Sus scrofa: one gene and its partner. The protein of the gene in region 2 binds, or shares a complex with, the protein of the main gene of each other region. Links are inferred from orthologs where the notes say so. Each region holds a gene or a part of one and is shown on either strand. Other genes may lie near its edges.

What was found.
Region 1: the proteins of TLR4 (region 2) and LY96 are in contact, whole or in part, in a crystal structure (PDB 4G8A), measured with the Homo sapiens proteins. The link is inferred for Sus scrofa from reciprocal best matches to the Homo sapiens genes TLR4 and LY96. Residues at the interface, in NP_612564.1 of Homo sapiens: Gln39, Met41, Glu42, Asp60, Ser62, Phe63, Asp84, Ser86, Arg87, Thr110, Gly111, Val132, Val134, Glu135, Asn156, His159, Ser183, Ser184, Asp209, Leu212, Arg234, Val259, Glu262, Phe263, Arg264, Asn265, Glu266, Arg289, Ala291, Tyr292; in NP_056179.4 of Homo sapiens: Met40, Tyr42, Ile66, Pro67, Arg68, Arg96, Ser98, Asp99, Asp100, Asp101, Tyr102, Ser103, Phe104, Arg106, Leu108, Lys109, Gly110, Glu111, Thr112, Thr115, Thr116, Ile117.

The regions. Positions count from the first base shown.
Region 1 is NC_010446.5:61,937,121-61,940,944, reverse strand, and holds part of LY96 (lymphocyte antigen 96), read left to right. Parts: coding exon 1-55; intron 56-1,482; coding exon 1,483-1,611; intron 1,612-3,824. UniProt on the Homo sapiens protein: Binds bacterial lipopolysaccharide (LPS). Cooperates with TLR4 in the innate immune response to bacterial lipopolysaccharide (LPS), and with TLR2 in the response to cell wall components from Gram-positive and Gram-negative bacteria.
Region 2 is NC_010443.5:258,043,223-258,047,584, reverse strand, and holds the start of TLR4 (toll-like receptor 4 isoform 1 precursor), read right to left. Parts: upstream 2,976-4,362; 5' UTR 2,728-2,975; coding exon 2,635-2,727; intron 1-2,634.

The DNA of each region.
Region 1 (3,824 bases), on a different chromosome or scaffold from region 2:
CCCTGTGTAACAATAAAGGGAACCAAGGGGAAATTGCATCTTTACTACATTGCACGTAAGTCCAAAGTTTTGTTTTTGTAGATCAATTAAAAGGGTTACAGAAATCTCCATGATAAATGATGGTGTTCTAAATGTATGCATATTCGTTTTCTGCTGCTATGTAACATCACAGTCTTTTTTTGCTGCTTATAATTTTTCAATTTAAATTTTATCGAAGTATAATTGATTTACAAGTTTGTGATAATTTCTGCTGTACCACAAAGTGATTCAGTTATACATGGACATATGTCCATTCTCTTTCAGATTCTTCTTTTTCTTTCTTTCTTTCTTTAGTGGTACACCGATACCAAAGGAAGGACAGGATTTTGAGGAAGGAGTAGCAGTTTTGTTAAGTATAGCCAAGTTCAAGGGAAACATGGAAAAACATTTTTTTTTCTTTTTATTATGGCTACAGAGAGTCTTAGTGATCATATTAGGAAAACAGTTTCTGTAAATTAGTAGTTACAATAATTGTTTTCATTATAAAAAAGATCATGTGTCTTTTCCAGCTGGGCCAACAGAATTACTTAAAAGAGTTGAGCAAAATGCATTTCTTCCTGGTATTTTCCATGTTCACTGATAATAGGGAGATCATGAGGAAATAATAAATAGTTCATTTACTTTATTTTTAGTCGAAGGGTTCAATGTCATTCTCTAAGACATCATTCATCAAAACTATAAAAAGTGGGCATGAGTTGGTTATCATCACTTCCTTTCCCTTCCCTTTCTTTTGAATTTCCTAGTGGAACTGACACTACACTTCACATCTTCACTTGATAGTTTTCACAAAAATACAGGTTCCTGTATTTTAGGCGTAGCACTCATAATTCTCACTGTGGAACCTGCTATTTATTTTATTTTACTATTTTATTTTATTTTATTTTATTTTATTTTATTTTATTTTATTTTATTTTACTTTACTTTACTTTATTTTATTTTATTTTATTTTATTTTATTTTATTTTATTTTATTTTATTTTATTTTTGTCTTTTCTAGGGCCGCACCTATAGATGGAGGTTCCCAGGCTAGAGGTCTAATCAGAGCTGTAGCCACCGGCCTTCACCAGAGCTACAGCAATGCAGGATCCAAGCCACGTCTGCAACCTACACCACAGCTGAAGGCAACACCGGATCCTTAACCCACTGAGCAAGGCCAGGGATCGAACCCTCATGATTGCTCGTCGGAATTGTTAACCACTGAGCCACAATGGGAACTCCAGAATCTGCTATTTGATTGCAATCAACCAGCAAGCCCTCTCAGAACTTCAGTTTTCTCATCTGCAAAACAAGAATAACAATATCCTCAATTAAAGGTAGTTGTGATGATTAAATGAATTAACATAGGAAAAGCACAGGGCATATTTTAAGTATACACTAAATGTTACTGGTTATTTATAAAAGAGTATCTTGTTTGTAGAGCTAATAAAATTTTTTTCTTTTAAAGGAAGAGACATACAAAAATTATATCTCAACCTCCATATATCTATTAAGTCCATGACTTTACCAATGCGCAAAGAAGTTATTTGCCGAGAATATGGTGGTGATTATTCTTTTTGCGGAGCTCTGAAGGGAGGTAAGCCTTCAAGTCAAATTACTCTCAGAATCAAGTGTAATACCTTATGAGAATGCTCTGAAAATTAAATACATTGAAAATGTGAAGTTCCTTTTCTGATGTAATTCTTTATTTCCATCCAAAGTTTTTCTTTTAGCAGCTTAAACATTTTTTGCTTATGTTACTGGGTTATTAGTAAGATGACATTTGGGTAAGTTTGAAGGGATATTAGCATTTTACCTTGTTCAGATTAATAGCATATGTTTATCCTTGGTTATGGTTCCCTCTTTATAAACATTGCATTTATTATTTTTCATAAAAACTCAGTAGATTTTCTTTGCAGCTACATTGATTCCTTCAATTCTTTTCTCTCCTTTTTTTCCACCCTAGAATTATTCATAGCCTCATAAAATTTCAAAGTTTAGGGACTTAAAGGTCATTTATTGCAAACCTATGAATTTTTCCTTAATAATTTTAAGCTAACATTTTAAATAGTTAGAAAATTCTATGTATCATATTGTCACATTACCAAAAATTGGAAAATATAAAATGAAAAAGTCACAGAATCATACTTCTAAGGATATTTTGGAGTATTTTTGTCTCATTTTAAAACTTGTACATATTGTTTAGTAGTTGTAAGTATACTATACTCTTCATGGTATATAATATAGTATACTTACATATACATATACTGTAGTCTACATAGTATATAATGACTATAGTTGTAAGTATACTATACAATTACTTTCTTTTTAAAAATTAATTAATTTAATTCCTTGACCAATAATCCATGTGATTTGAAAATCAGAGTATAGACGTTCCATAATGAAATGTCGTCCCTAGTGGGGTGCTCTGGTTTCATTCTCTTATTGGACAGTTTCCTTCTGATGTATTTACTATTATAAGTAGTATTATACATATTTTATCATATTTTAGATTTGAAGAATCCTATATTTGGAAGAAGGAGTGCATATAACTCCCAGGGAGATTTCTGAGCTTAAATGGTTTGAATATTTGTGGTTTTGTTTACATAAAGCCAAATTGCTTTTCTAAAGGATTGTATCAATTTATACATTGTACCACCAGCAGTGCATATGTATAGTAGTTTAATCTCTGTCCTGTTAACACTGGGCATTTTCATTTTAAAAAAAAGGACTAAAAAAAGACTTTGTAAGGGAGTTTCCTCATATGGCAGCAAGTCAAGGCTCCAGCATTGTCATTGCAGTGGCTGAGGTCACTGCTGTGGTGCAGGTTCCATCCCTGGCCCAAGGACTTCCACATGCAGGGAGCATGGCCAAAAAAAACCCAAAAAGACTTTACTGGGTAAAAAACTTATGCCTAATTTTTTTCGGCCACTTTCGTGGCATATAGAAACTCCTGGGCCAAAGATTGAACCCATGCTACTGCAGCAACCTAGGCCACTGCAGTGACAATACTGGATCCTTAACGGCTATGCCACAAGGGAATTTCCCTAATTTATTTTTTTATTTTTTTATTTTAGGGCCACACCCACAGCATACAGAAGTTCCCAGGCAAGGGTTTGAATCAGAGCTACAGCTGCCAGCCTACGCCACAGCCACAGCAACACGGGATCCGAGCCATGTCTGTGACCTACACTACAGCTCATGGCAACGCTGAATCCCTGACCCATTGAGCAAGGCCAGGGATCGGGGATCAAACCCACATGCTCATGGATACTAATCAGATTTGTTTCCACTGCACCACAATGGGAACTCCTCCCTAATTGTTTTTTTATTAATATTTTTTATTACTATTGAAGTTGAATGTTTTCCCATATAATTATTTACCATTAATCAGTGCCCTCTCTTGTTTTAAAAAAGATTTCAGGTAGTTTATATGTATTCGTTAATTTAAGCAACTTAACAGAAATAGATGAGACACAATTTGAAAATAAGGGTCAAGAATTAATGGAATGAGAGTAATATGAAAATTCATAACAGAAAGGCTTATACTTTGACAGGTGCATCAATTTGATTATACATTTTCTAGCAGTCATTAAAAAATAGTTTCTAAAGTAAATCAGTGTGCTTGCTCTGCAAAGGAAACTTCAAGATGTGTCTCCCAGCCTACCATCTTTCATCTCAAACTTGCCCGCCATCCCCTACTAGTCATGGAGCTGGCATTGCCTTAGAGTCTACGCTCAGAGTCATAAGACCTGAATCCGTGTCCCAGTTTTTCCACTGACCAGCAGTGTGACTTTGGCGTGTTATTTA
Region 2 (4,362 bases):
AGGTGCCTGGGAAATAGTTAATGATCTATAAATATTTGTTGAATAAATGAATGGATAACTGCTTAAATAGATGTTTATTCAAAACCCAGTTGAAGGCATTTTCTGCTAAGTGCTATAGACAACACAAAGACCAATGGGATATGGCTCTAGACTTCAATGAGCTCACAACTGAGAGAGTTAAAAGAAAAGCACAAGTTAGACTCCTGAAAAGGGGATGAAACCAGACTTAGAACATTTTCTCCTTAGTTCATTAAAAAGTGGAGATCAATACTGGATCCAGAGATTATAGACTGTAGAAGGCTTCCAAGAAAGAGAAAATTTCAAGGTGGGTCTGGAAGGATGAGATTTGGATACATGGAAAGGAAGGAGAGGAAGGAAGAGGGCACAGCAAGTACAGAGGGGTGAAAAACTAGCTCAGATTAACGTTGTGTGGCAGGAGTGGCAAAACCTCAACCAGAGGGGAGGGCCAGATAGGAGGCCTCGTACTTTGTTCTGTGGCAATGCTTTCAATCACATTTAAATGAGCAACTATAATGTGAGATGCACTGGGATAGAGTCATAACTAAAACCAGAAATTATCTTGACCTCTTATAGATTCCATTTCAAGGAAAATACAAGCAATAGACAAATAAAATATATATTTATATATATATATAAAACATAGGTAATACATGTTTTATATATATATAAAATATAAATATACACCTATATGTGTATGTGCTACAAAAATGTGCTATCAAAATAAAGCAGCATAGGAAACTAGTGGCAAATATGGGGGGTGAGGTGCTCTATGTGAAGCAATCAAGGAAGACTTATTGAAGGAGGTGACATATAAGCAGAAATCTGGATGAAATGAGGGATTAAGTCATAAAAATATCTAGGGCTGTACTGTCCAATAGGGACATACTGACCATAATGAGCATAAGAAATATGGATAGTTTAAACTGAGATATATTGCAAATGTAAAATATATACTAAATTTTAAAGACTTAAAACCAAAGAAGGAATGTAAAATATATTATTAATGCTTTAGTATACATTGCATTTTGAAATAATATTTTGAATGTACTGAGTTAAACAAAAATATTATTAAAATTAATTTCACTTTCTTCTTTTTATATTTTCATGTAGCTACTAGAAAATGTAAAACTACATTTTAAATTTAGTTTAAAAAGTTAACTTAGTTGAATAAAAATTTAATTAAATTTAGTTACTTAAATTTATTATTTAAATAATGTCACATGACCCTATGATATTACCACTGAGCACCACAGATCTACGGGGAAGGCATTCTAGCTAGAGGAAATAGCCACGGCAAAGGCCCCATGGCAGGAAAAGGTCCTGATAGCAATGGAGAGTTAGTGCAAGTTTTTAAGGATGGTAATTTGTTAGAACTGAACCTCAGGAAAAACTGCAACAAACAAACAACAAAAATGTACAGGTTAGATTAAATGACAGGGACAATGGGACATGAGACTAGTCCCTGTCCAAGAGTCAAGGCCAAGGGAACTGAGGATCTGCCCCAGAGTGATCCTGGAGGGAAGAGAAGGGTTGGGCAAGCTTTGGAAATGGAGAGTATTGGGAGCATGGGAGAAGGAGGAGCCACATGGTCCCCACTGCCACCCCCCTCCCCCCCTTGGTTTTATCCTGGGGGGAGCATGATTGGAGGATCTATACCTACTAACCTAACAGCAGGAAAGACACAGAGAGGAGGACAGTGAGAAGGGAATTGGGGAAACAGAGGACTTGCAGATAACAGATTTGTCTTTGTTACATATCAAAGTATATTGTTTCTTCCATGTCCCCAGTGCCAGGACTCTGGCAGGTTATGCTTTTCTTGAGTTTCTGACCCTGCCACATCCTAAATCCAGGACATTCTTGTGGCTGTTTGGGTCTGCCATGGGCTTCCAAAGCAATTGTAAAGTCCATGCAGTGGAAGAACAAACAAAATCCATCAGTAATGAGATTATGAACCAACTGATTGATGTTTCACAAAGAAAGCAAGCATTACATTAGCTGATATTTTATAACTTGTCTCTTTTTTCCTTCTTTCTTCATTCCTTTCTCTCTCTCTTTCTCTGTCTCTCCTTTTCTAACTTCTGTCTTTTTATCGTTTGGACAGAACTATGACCAGAAGTTGGAAATCTGCTTAGAAATTTCTATTAAGAGACTAAAAATATCTTCCTGAGATTGAAAGGGGCAAATAAAACAGCTCAAAGCAGAGTATGCAAACCACCAACAGAAAGGAATGACAGGAAGCAGGCTTCTTGCAACTCTGTACTGAAGCCTATAATTCTTTTATGGATGTGAAAACTAGTCTAAGAGAGGTTGGGTAACTTCTTCAAGGTCACACAGCCCAGAATTGGAAAGGCAGTGATTTTAAACAGGTCTATCTGACCTAACGTCCCATTAGCCCTTTAAGTCCTAGGTGGGACAAAACCCCATGGGCTGCCTATTAGTGCGCTCTTACCATGAATTTTTTGGTCCCTTTGGTCTCTTAAGTCTTTAAGGTAATTTGACTTCTGTTTGCTAATGAAACTAACCAGGGCTCACCAAGGGAAGCTCTAGGCAGAGAGCAGTTTTTCAGAAGCAAGGCAAAGCTCAGGGGAAGCTGAGCAGACTCCTACCACATACCTGCACGCAAGGGTCCCAGCTCTCAGATCTCAGGCAGGAGAGAAAGGCCATGGCTGGGATCGTGGCCACAGCCAGGCGGATGCGAGGAATCATCCTGGCATTTTCCGTGAACAGAAGTGACCCGGAGAAAGCATGACCCTCTGTATCTGCTGGTCAGAGCAGCCTCCCAGGCACTGCCGTCTTCTCTCCTCAGCACACTGCCCGGGGGCACTGACTCTATTCAAAGCAGCACTGGGTTAAGGGGTAAGAGGAAGTGAGAATGGCAGCCTTCGCATTCTGGACTTTTGTTTCTCTAATATTTATCTCCTCTGTCACCAGAGGGGAAGTTAGAAGAAGAAGAAGAAAACCTGTAGACCGGAGCTGGAGTAATAGCAAGAGGAAGCTGGCTTTTATCCCAGGAAGTCATCTGACCTCAGTGTTGTTGAGTTTAGGAAAACAGTCAGACTGGTCAAACAGCCTGTGTGACTAACTGCCTGGGACGGTGGCTTTCCACTTTTGTTTTACTAGTGGAAATTTACTGTCTGTGTTAGTTTGCTAGGGTTGCCATAACAAAATACCACAGACTAGGTGGCTTAAACAGCAGACGTTGATTTCCTCACAAAGTTCCAGAGGCTGGAAGTCTGTAGTCAAGGTGTCAGCAGGGTTAACTGCTTCTCTCCTTGGCTTGTAGATGGCTATCTCTTCCTTCTTGTGCCAAAGTTCTTTCCTCTTGTGTGTCTCTGTTCTAATTTCCTCTTCTTATAAGGACTGCAGTCATACTGGATTAGGATCCACCCATATGATGTAGTGACCTCCTTTTACCTTAATTACTGTTGTAAAGACCCACTCTCAAAATACAGTCACAGTCTGCAGTACCAGAATAAAGACTCCAGCACATGAATTTTGGCAGAGGATGCGATTCACTCATAGCACTGTCCAATTTTATGAAATCTTGTGAAGAAGCCCACATTTATGAAACATTGAAAATAGGGCTCCAGGGAAACACCGTTTGAAAAGTACAAGAATATTGGGAAAAGATTGGGATGAAGAATCAAATATACTGAAATTCAAATCCTGGCTGGGTGGTTTATGGCCTTGTAGCATTGGTCAAGTCTCTTAAACGACTGAGACAATTTCTGGTCTGTAAAATGGGATAATAGTTTTAAGCACAACAGAAATTCACCTTTATAAAGTTTATAACAATAAAACCATGTGATAGTAGTCAAATGATGCAAGCCACGAAAGCATTCGTTTTCTGGTCTTTAAAATGGATATAATCACATTCATATTGTGTGACTGAATTAAGCTGATTTACATAAAATGCCTGTTCTACTGCATGGTTCATCAGGATATTCCTCAAATTGGAGGCTATTAAGATGATTAAAAATATGAATAAAATGAGGGTGCTAATATGTACCTCAAATTATTGTTATGGGATTAAATAAGGTGGCATTTGTAAAGCTTTTAGGACAGATTATGTTTAGAGTGTAGAAAGCACAATGTAAGTTTCTGTTAAATAGGAACATAGTTTAAAATGGTGCCATTGCTGGTATTGTGTCCTAAATAGTTCCACCAAGATATCCATCAAGGACCTCAAATCCAACACATCTAAAATCAAGCTGTGAGGGAATGGGTCACAGGGGACGGAGCACAAACTCTTGCAAACTTCTTCAGCACTCATGTAAAATTAAGCTAAAAATAGTCCCAAACATTGCTTTGAGGATTAATCGAGACCATGTAAAGGTCTTC